2 linked regions of the Oryctolagus cuniculus genome follow. The protein of the gene in region 1 interacts with the protein of each later gene in a biochemical or structural test. Links are inferred from orthologs where the notes say so. Each region holds a gene or a part of one and is shown in the gene's direction. Other genes may lie near its edges.

Region 1 (3,806 bases):
TGAGCTTCCATGTGAGCTGGAGGCCCAGGACAGCTGCGGGGAGGGGCGGGGCGGGGCTTGGCTCGGCTCACCTCGCCCCTGCCCGGCTCCTTCCCCTGCCCGGGATGCCACCCCCGTGCTCCCCCAGGCTGCACGCGGCACCCGCCTGCCTTCAGGCCTCACACAGAACAGCTGCGCTGGGTTCCTGTGCTGCATTTAGCACAAGCACACTCGAACGGTAGGACTTGCGCTAAATTCAGGACTGGCCCTGGGCACCTGAGGCATGAATGGGCAGAAGGTGATGGCAGGTCCCGCGAGCCAGCTTGGAGCCAGGAAGTGTTGACTCCACCAGGTCTGGCCACCCCTGGGGTGTGCAGTACCTGTGCCGGGAACCTGCTGGGCAGTACCACATGGAAAGACCCTGTCCTGTCTGGACTGGCTGAACCCTCGGCCTGCGTCAGAGAGCTCACAGACGGCAGAATCAGCTCACTGAAGGCCAAGGCAGTGGATGCCTCTGTCTGAAGGGTCCCCGTTCATCCCTTTTCTCTCACCCCCACAAAGGAGAGCAGCCCCCGGCCTCACAAATGTGGGCACCCGTGGCCGTGACTAACTTCCCTTGGGCTGTCTTTTAGCTTTAGCAGCCCCACTGGAGGTGTGAAACGGAAAGGAACCTTGAACAAGAAGGAGCCCCAGAAGAGAAGGAAGGCCGGCCCGCCCGAGGCACCGTCCGAGGACCTGCTGGTGGCCATGGCTCTGTCCCGCTCCGAGATGGAGCAGGGCCCTGCCACGCCTGCGCTCAGACTGCGGAGTGCTTTCTCCGCGAGGAGAGGTGGGTGTGGCCGGGAGCAGGTGGGTGTGGCCGGAGCTGTGGCTTACGCAGCTTGTTGCTGAGTCCACGGCTGACCGCGTCGCTTCCGTGTGTCTCTAGAGAAGAAAGGTCGCAAGAGGAAGCCCCCGGTGTCGCCCCCGCAGTTGCTCGTCCAGGACCGCGTGACCACAGGCAGGCAGATAGAGGACCGCGTGGCCCTGCTGCTGTCAGAGGAGGCGCCGCTGTCCCGCACGCCGCCGCTTCCCGCCAGCAGGATTCTGAAGGAAAAGCTGAGAAAGGCAGGCTGGTGCCTGCAGCCGCCGGAAGGGAAGCAGAACTTCCTGTGGGAGGGCAGCGCCCTGACCGGAGCCTGGGCCGTGGACGCCTTCTACACGGCCAGCCTCGTCCCTCCCATCGTGCCCCAGCGGCCTGCCGAGGTGAGCCCTGCTCCTCCAGACACGCGCGCACGGGCTCTGCGGACAGAGCTGCAGCTCCGACACCAGCGCCGGGCCACAGACAGCATGAGCGGTGGGGGGCAGGGCTCGGCTGAGGCGCTCTCTGTGGCAGCCACACGGCTCTGCGGGTGAGGACAGGGCAGAGCCTCGGCTTCCCCGAGAGTGTTTAGGACACCGAGTCCCAGGCCCTACTCCCGTGGGGCTGGTGTCATCACAGCAGGCGCCCAGGAACCACATTCTGCATACATGTTCCAGACAGTCGCGCGGGTGGCTCTGAGTCAGTTCTCGCCTTCCTGGGGTCCCCTGGCTGTCCACAGGCACGGATGGGCCACTCAGAGCAGCCTGTCGCTACTCAGTGACGGACACTTCCGGTCCCGCTCTGCAGTCTGGGTCTGGCCGTGCGCATGTGTAGAGGCTGCTGCGTGCCAGTGTCTGACAGCAGCCACGTGCTTACCCTGGCTTGCGCGCTTCTTGCAGGGCCTGACCCAGGAGCCTCCACGACCTACGAGGCCTCCTGAGCAGCCAGAGTCAGGTCTGGAGGGGCCACCTGCTCTCCCCAGCAGCCCCGGGGACCTGTCGTCATCGGCCAGCCAGAGGGAGCACCAGGCCCTGCAGGACCTCGTGGACCTGGCACGGGAGGGGCTGAGTGCCAGCCCGAGGCCCAGCAGTGAGGACCTGGCCAGCTCCGATGGGGCCACAGGTGAGACACTGGGTGGGCCGCAGGAGGGAAGGGGGCGCCTTCGTGTAAGCCCCGAGGCTCGGCGGCGTGTCCCCTGCTGCAGGAGCACGTGCAGCGCCCAGCAGCTTTTGCTTTGCTCGGAGGTGACTGTGGCACACACAAGTCTGTCACGATTTTCCTTCAACTTTAGGCCAAGACGGAGCTGGCTGCCCAGGTGAGTGATCCTTGTAACCTCCGGCGAGGGGCGGTGGTAGCAATGGCGGCGGCAGGGGCTTGCTTTAAATGGCCATGTCCTCAGCCAGCTCCTCCCAAGGCATCTTGGGTCCAGCCTGGCCTGTGGTGGGTGCCGCCGGCTGGATGCCGACATTGTCAGGGTGACGTGACGTTATCTCAACCTCCACCCCCTCTCAGGGCTGGATGTGGTGCCCCGCGGCCTCCCGCCGACCGGCTTTGTCCTGCCTAAGGAGAAGCACCTGGAGCGGGGCGACCACGCTTCGGTAAGGACTGGGGGTCTCCCACGTGAGCCCCTCCCTGGCGCTGTGACCGCTGTGGGGAGCTCCACTCCCTGCTGTCCCCAGGGCCTCCCCACTTCCACTGGCGTCACGGAGCAGCTCTGCTTCCCAGCAGGCGGACTCGGCAGCCCCCCCCGCCCGGCTGCCCCCGGGCCCTGCTGTGAAGGCTTGTTTGTTGCTTGTCTCGGAACACGGCGGGCGCCCGCAGTGGCTGAACCCCCAAGCCTGCGTAGTCGTGGGAGTCCGGGGGCCGCTCTTCTCTGTGCGGGGCCCTCGTTCCGCTGTGTGCTCTGCGTGCTCCTGCCGTAGCAACTTACGGCAACCCTCCCGTGTGGCCCCGGGGCCGCGCTCGGCTCCTACCACGGTCCCTCGTCCTGTGTTGGTGACCAGTGGGGTAGCACTTGGGTTTTCCCGAGAGTAGACAGCATCCCCAGAGGATCCCGGCCTCAGCCACACTGCCACACCAGGGCCAGGGCGATGGCATCGACGTGCACAGTGGACAGTGGGCCCTGAAGTGCTGGAACGCGGGGCCTGGGTCCAGCACACCAAGCTGCTCTGAGCACTGGGCCTACAGCACGCGTAGCTCACCCCGCGCTCCAGAACCACGGATGCCGCCTGCTCGTCCTTGTCAGGGCTGTGCTGCCTCTCCCCACCGGCCGGTCCCTGCCTGGGCATCTGAGACCCGGGCTGGTGTCCTCACTGCCCGACTGCAAGTGCCTGTGGTGATACAAAGCAGAGCCCGGCACAGCCCATCCCCTTCCTGAGCAGGGGCGCCCCGCGCTGCTCGGTCAGCAGAGTGGCAGTAGCGCGAGACGGTGACAGTGCTGACAGCTGTGCCTCTCACTTCAGCTCTCCATCGGGCTGCTGGTTGCCGACTTCAGCGCCATGGTCAACAACCCGCACCTGAGCGACGTCCAGTTCCAGGTGGACAGCGGCGAGGTGCTCTATGCCCACAAGTTTGTGCTTTACGCCCGATGTCCACTTCTCATTCAGCATGTGAGTACCGGCCATCAGGCAGCTCCCCCGCTCCTGCCCCTTCCGCCCTGCACGGGAGCGTCTTTGCTCTGTTGCTGTCAGGGTCCCGTCTGGGGAGGACAGAGAGGCACGTCAGGCTAGCTGCCGCGTGAGGAGTGGCCTCAGCGCGGCCGACATGCTCTGTGCTGCAGAATCAAGGCCAAGGCGCTCTGTCCCCAGAACGGTTTCCTCTTTTTTCAATTTGCATAATTGCAGAGTTCCAAACTGACCTTTTTTTCTTACCTGTTTTTAATTTTTAAATTTAGGAAGGCAGAGAGAGAGAGAGAGAGAGAGAATCTTCCATCCTCTTTCTTACTCCAAATGCCTGCAGTAGCTAGGGCTGAGCCAGGCCAGAGCCA
Region 2 (3,906 bases), on another chromosome or scaffold:
ACAAAACTTTAAACATCCATTCATTTACTTAACTTGGGAACTGGCCTTTTGCTTTTTCTATATTATCTCATTCACAAATCTTCGCTCTTAACCCGTACTTCCCATCCTCTTCCTCAACATAAATCACTCCACAATCTACCCAGCTGCTCAGAGACCAAGGAGTCCCTGCAGGCTTCCTCCACATATCCAGTGCACCGGCAGCTCTGGATCTCAAGTCCACTCATTTCCTCCAAGTTCAGGGCCACCACCATCTTGGCTAAACCATCTCTCAACATATGACAGCTTCCCATCTGGTTACCTCATTTCTACCAAAACTCCCTTAGTTACATAAACACAATAGTTTCTCAGAATGTGAAACTGGGGGCCAGTGTTGTGTCCAAGTGGGTAAAGCTGCCATCTGCAATGCCTGCATCCTATATGGGTGCCATCCGGCCGCTCCACTTCTGATCCAGCTCCCTGCTCATGGCCTAGGAAAGCAGTGAAGGATGGTCCAGGTATTTGGGCCCCTGTCACCCAGGCTCCTGGCTTCAGCCTGGCTCAGCCCTGGCCATTGTGGCCATGTGTGGAGTGAACCAGTGGATGGAAGATCTTGCTCTCTGTTAACTCTTTCAAAATAAGTAAAAATAAATCCTTAACAAATATGTAAAGCTGGATCAAGTCATTCTCTGGTTCCTACAGGTCTCGGCCTTTTAGGTCTTTAGGTGTTATCAGCTGCTAGGGCCTTCCTGACCAATGTAAAACACACACACACACACACAAACACGTTCTTAGCACCGATCACAATTTACAACTGTCATATATATGTATGCTTATTTACCGGCTAGATAAATAAAAAATGAAAACTAGAAAGGGCCATCGGGAGGGTGGAGACCATGTCTTCACGTTTTCCGCTGGTACTTCGAACACCCACCGGTGTCCGGCACCAAATTAGATCTCAACATGTTGAATGAACAGATGAACGTTCTGAAGTCCAACGTGTCAATATTACTGCTCCTTCTTACACATGAAGGGATCCACGCAAGCCCAGCGAGGCAATGCGGCGTGCCCACGTCACCAACAGCCAGAGAAGCGAGAAATCCACACGCAGGGGAGGGCCGAATGCTCCCCAGATACTCCCCAAGCCCGCGGCTCCGCCCAAGATACGGCACGTGACCGGCCACCGCCGCCACTCCAACCGGGCGTGCCACAGAACTCCCCAATCCCGCACCCAGGGACCTCCGCGGGGGCTGGCTGCCACCTCCCGGGTCCCCTGCCAGATCTCTCCGCAACGACTACATTGTCCCATTACCGGCCGCCCGCGTCCTCAGGGCCAGCGCCGCCGACGCCATGTTTGCCTTACAATCGCTTCCGGTCTCGAAAGGCTGCTTCCGCTACCGGGAGATCTACTTCCGGGTCCGGTGCGGCGGTTGAATGAGTGGCGCGAGGAGGTACAGGTGAGCGTCCGGGGTGTCGGACTTCACCGGCCAAGGCTGTCTTCCAGAGCGCCGCTGCGCGGGAGCTTGGTGGCCAGGGCGTCGGGGTCCTCCGCCCTGACGGCTGACCTGGGAGGCGCGGAGCGTGCCGGGCAGGGGTCTGCTTCTCCGAGTGGCTCATTTTGCAGGAGTCAACCGAGATCCCGCTGCGGGACACGGATGAGACCCCCTCCCTTGTCTTTAAAGTGCCAGACACCGTCCTAAGCGCGGTAATGCGTTAATTCTCACGGCCTTACAAAGGCGGTATTGCTATCCCTGTTGTACCAAGGGAGAAACAGGCCGAGGATTAGCTGGCTCACCCAGGGTCAGTAAGTTTTTGTTCGAGAAAGGAGGCTTGCATATGACCCAGCTAGTCCAGTCCTCAGTTTATATGCAAGAGAATTGAAAATATGCCCACATAAAAACTTGTACCTCGATGTTCATAACCGCGTTATTCATAGTGACCAAAAATAGAAACAAACCAAACGCCCCTTAAGTGATGCATAAGCAAAATGTGGTAGAGCCACACGTTGGAATATTCAGCCATGAAAAGCAATAAAGTACTGGCCCATACTGCGACACAGATGAAACTCCCAAACATAAAAGGGAAAGAGCCACATAGTGTGTGATTCCTCTGGATATGCAGTATCCAGCATGGGCAGACCCATAGAGCCATGGTAAATCTGTGGTTGCCAGGGGCTGGGGGGAGGAGGATGGACGATGATAGCTTAATGACTTCTGAAGTCATAGAAATGTTCTGGCATTAGCAGTGGTAGTTGCACAACACTAAATATATTAAAACTGTTGGGCTGTACACTTAAAAAGATGAATTTTTTTGAAAGATTTATTTATTTGAGAAGTACAGTCACAGAGAGGCAGAAGCAGAGAGAAGTCTTCCATCTGTTGGTTCACTCCCTAAATGGCTGCAAAAGCCGGAGACAGGTTGATCTGAAGCCAGGAGCCTGGAGCTTCTTCTGGGTCTCCCATGCAGGACTTGGGCCATCCTCTGCTGCTTTCCCAGGCCATAGGAGAGAGCTGGATCGGAAGTGGAGCAGCTGGGACTCCAACCAGCACCCACATGGGATGCTGACACTGCAGACAGCAGCTTAAACTGCTAGGCCACAGCACCATTTCAAATGGAGAGGTCTAGAGGGTGGTGATGAGTGTTGTTACTATCCAGTGAAAATTATAATATTATCCCTGCTTTTTAAGATTTATTTATTTATTTGAAAGGCAGAGTTACAGAGAGGCAGAGAGAGAGAGAGAGAGAGAGGTCCTCTATCCGCTGGTCCACTTCCCAGATGGCAGCACAACCAGAGAGCTAGGCTGATCTGAAGCCAGGAGCTTCTGGGTCTCCCACACAGGTATAGGGGCCCAAGGACTTGGGCCACTTCTACTGCTTTCCTAGGCCACAGCAGAGAGCTGAGTTGGAATTGGAACAGCCAGGACTTGAAGCAGCACCCAATGGGATGCCAGCACTGCAGGTGGTGGCCCTATCTGCTATACTGCAGTGCCGGCCCCCCTACTTTATTTAAACCTCGCCTAGACAGAAAAGATTTGAGGAAGGCTCCTGTTAGACCACAGATGTTGCTGTTCGGGGTTCCAGACAGGATACGGTAGGGATGTCCTCTTTCTCTGCTCATATTTCAAAAAGCTTGGCTGTATCTAGTGTACAGAATTGGATGCTACAGTCTCTGTCACCTCTCTTTTCCCTTATAGGGAATTCATTCAAATAGCACGTGTTGATGGCTCTAAAGTCACCACTGTCACTAGAATCCAGTGGGAGTGAATCCGAAGAGTTACCCACGTTCGCCTTTCTGAAGAAGGAATCATTTTCAACCAAGAAGAGGCAGGAGAAGGTCATAGTGGTTGTCAGCTCAGATTCCGAGGGCTCCTGTCCACCATCACCAGAGCCAATAGGTCCATCCCCTGACCCAGACACAGAGGAGGCGCTCCCACACGCAGAGCCAGTCCCGGTACTGAGCAGTGGAAGTGAGGACGAAGAGGAGTTCATCCCCTTGGCCGAGAGACTCACATGTAAGTTTTTGACCCACAAGCAGCTGAGCCCTGAAGACTCAAGCTCTGCAATTAGAAGCGTCTTGGATCATGAGAGTAATGAAGGAGCATCCTGTGACCGGATCCCCAACATCCCTGCTGTCCTCCACGGATCCTCAGGGAGGAACGCACCGAGTGGCAGGGACCCTATCTTGGACAGCCCTTGCCGTCAGCCTGCAGCCTACCGCTCCTCGTGTCCCCTCGAGAGCGACAGCTTGACAGTGACCAAAGCAAATCTTGACATCCCCCCACCTCAGAAGACAGCCACGCGTGGTCAGAAGGTGCGGGGATGGCGGCAGCAGGGGCAAGCGAGCCGGAAGGAAAGCCCCCCGAGACAGCAGAGACGGAAGAAGGAAGCGCCAGCTGGCAGGCTGAAGGCGCCAAGGCCAGAGGAGTGCTT

Evidence for each region.
Region 2: the proteins of SLX4 (region 1) and EME1 form a complex in vitro, tested with the Homo sapiens proteins (3 studies listed by BioGRID, with this or other methods). The link is inferred for Oryctolagus cuniculus from reciprocal best matches to the Homo sapiens genes SLX4 and EME1.

Annotation. Positions count from the first base shown.
Region 1 is NC_091450.1:31,901,523-31,905,328, forward strand, and holds part of SLX4 (structure-specific endonuclease subunit SLX4), read left to right. Parts: intron 1-611; coding exon 612-808; intron 809-907; coding exon 908-1,224; intron 1,225-1,719; coding exon 1,720-1,942; intron 1,943-2,111; coding exon 2,112-2,135; intron 2,136-2,332; coding exon 2,333-2,418; intron 2,419-3,282; coding exon 3,283-3,429; intron 3,430-3,806. UniProt on the Homo sapiens protein: Regulatory subunit that interacts with and increases the activity of different structure-specific endonucleases.
Region 2 is NC_091448.1:26,293,809-26,297,714, forward strand, and holds the start of EME1 (crossover junction endonuclease EME1), read left to right. Parts: upstream 1-1,328; 5' UTR 1,329-1,433; intron 1,434-1,557; exon of another isoform or gene 1,558-1,681; intron 1,682-2,104; exon of another isoform or gene 2,105-2,128; intron 2,129-2,955; exon of another isoform or gene 2,956-3,067; intron 3,068-3,170; 5' UTR 3,171-3,196; coding exon 3,197-3,906. Other genes in the region: MRPL27 (large ribosomal subunit protein bL27m), read right to left, coding at 1,289-1,328. UniProt on the Homo sapiens protein: Non-catalytic subunit of the structure-specific, heterodimeric DNA endonuclease MUS81-EME1 which is involved in the maintenance of genome stability. In the complex, EME1 is required for DNA cleavage, participating in DNA recognition and bending.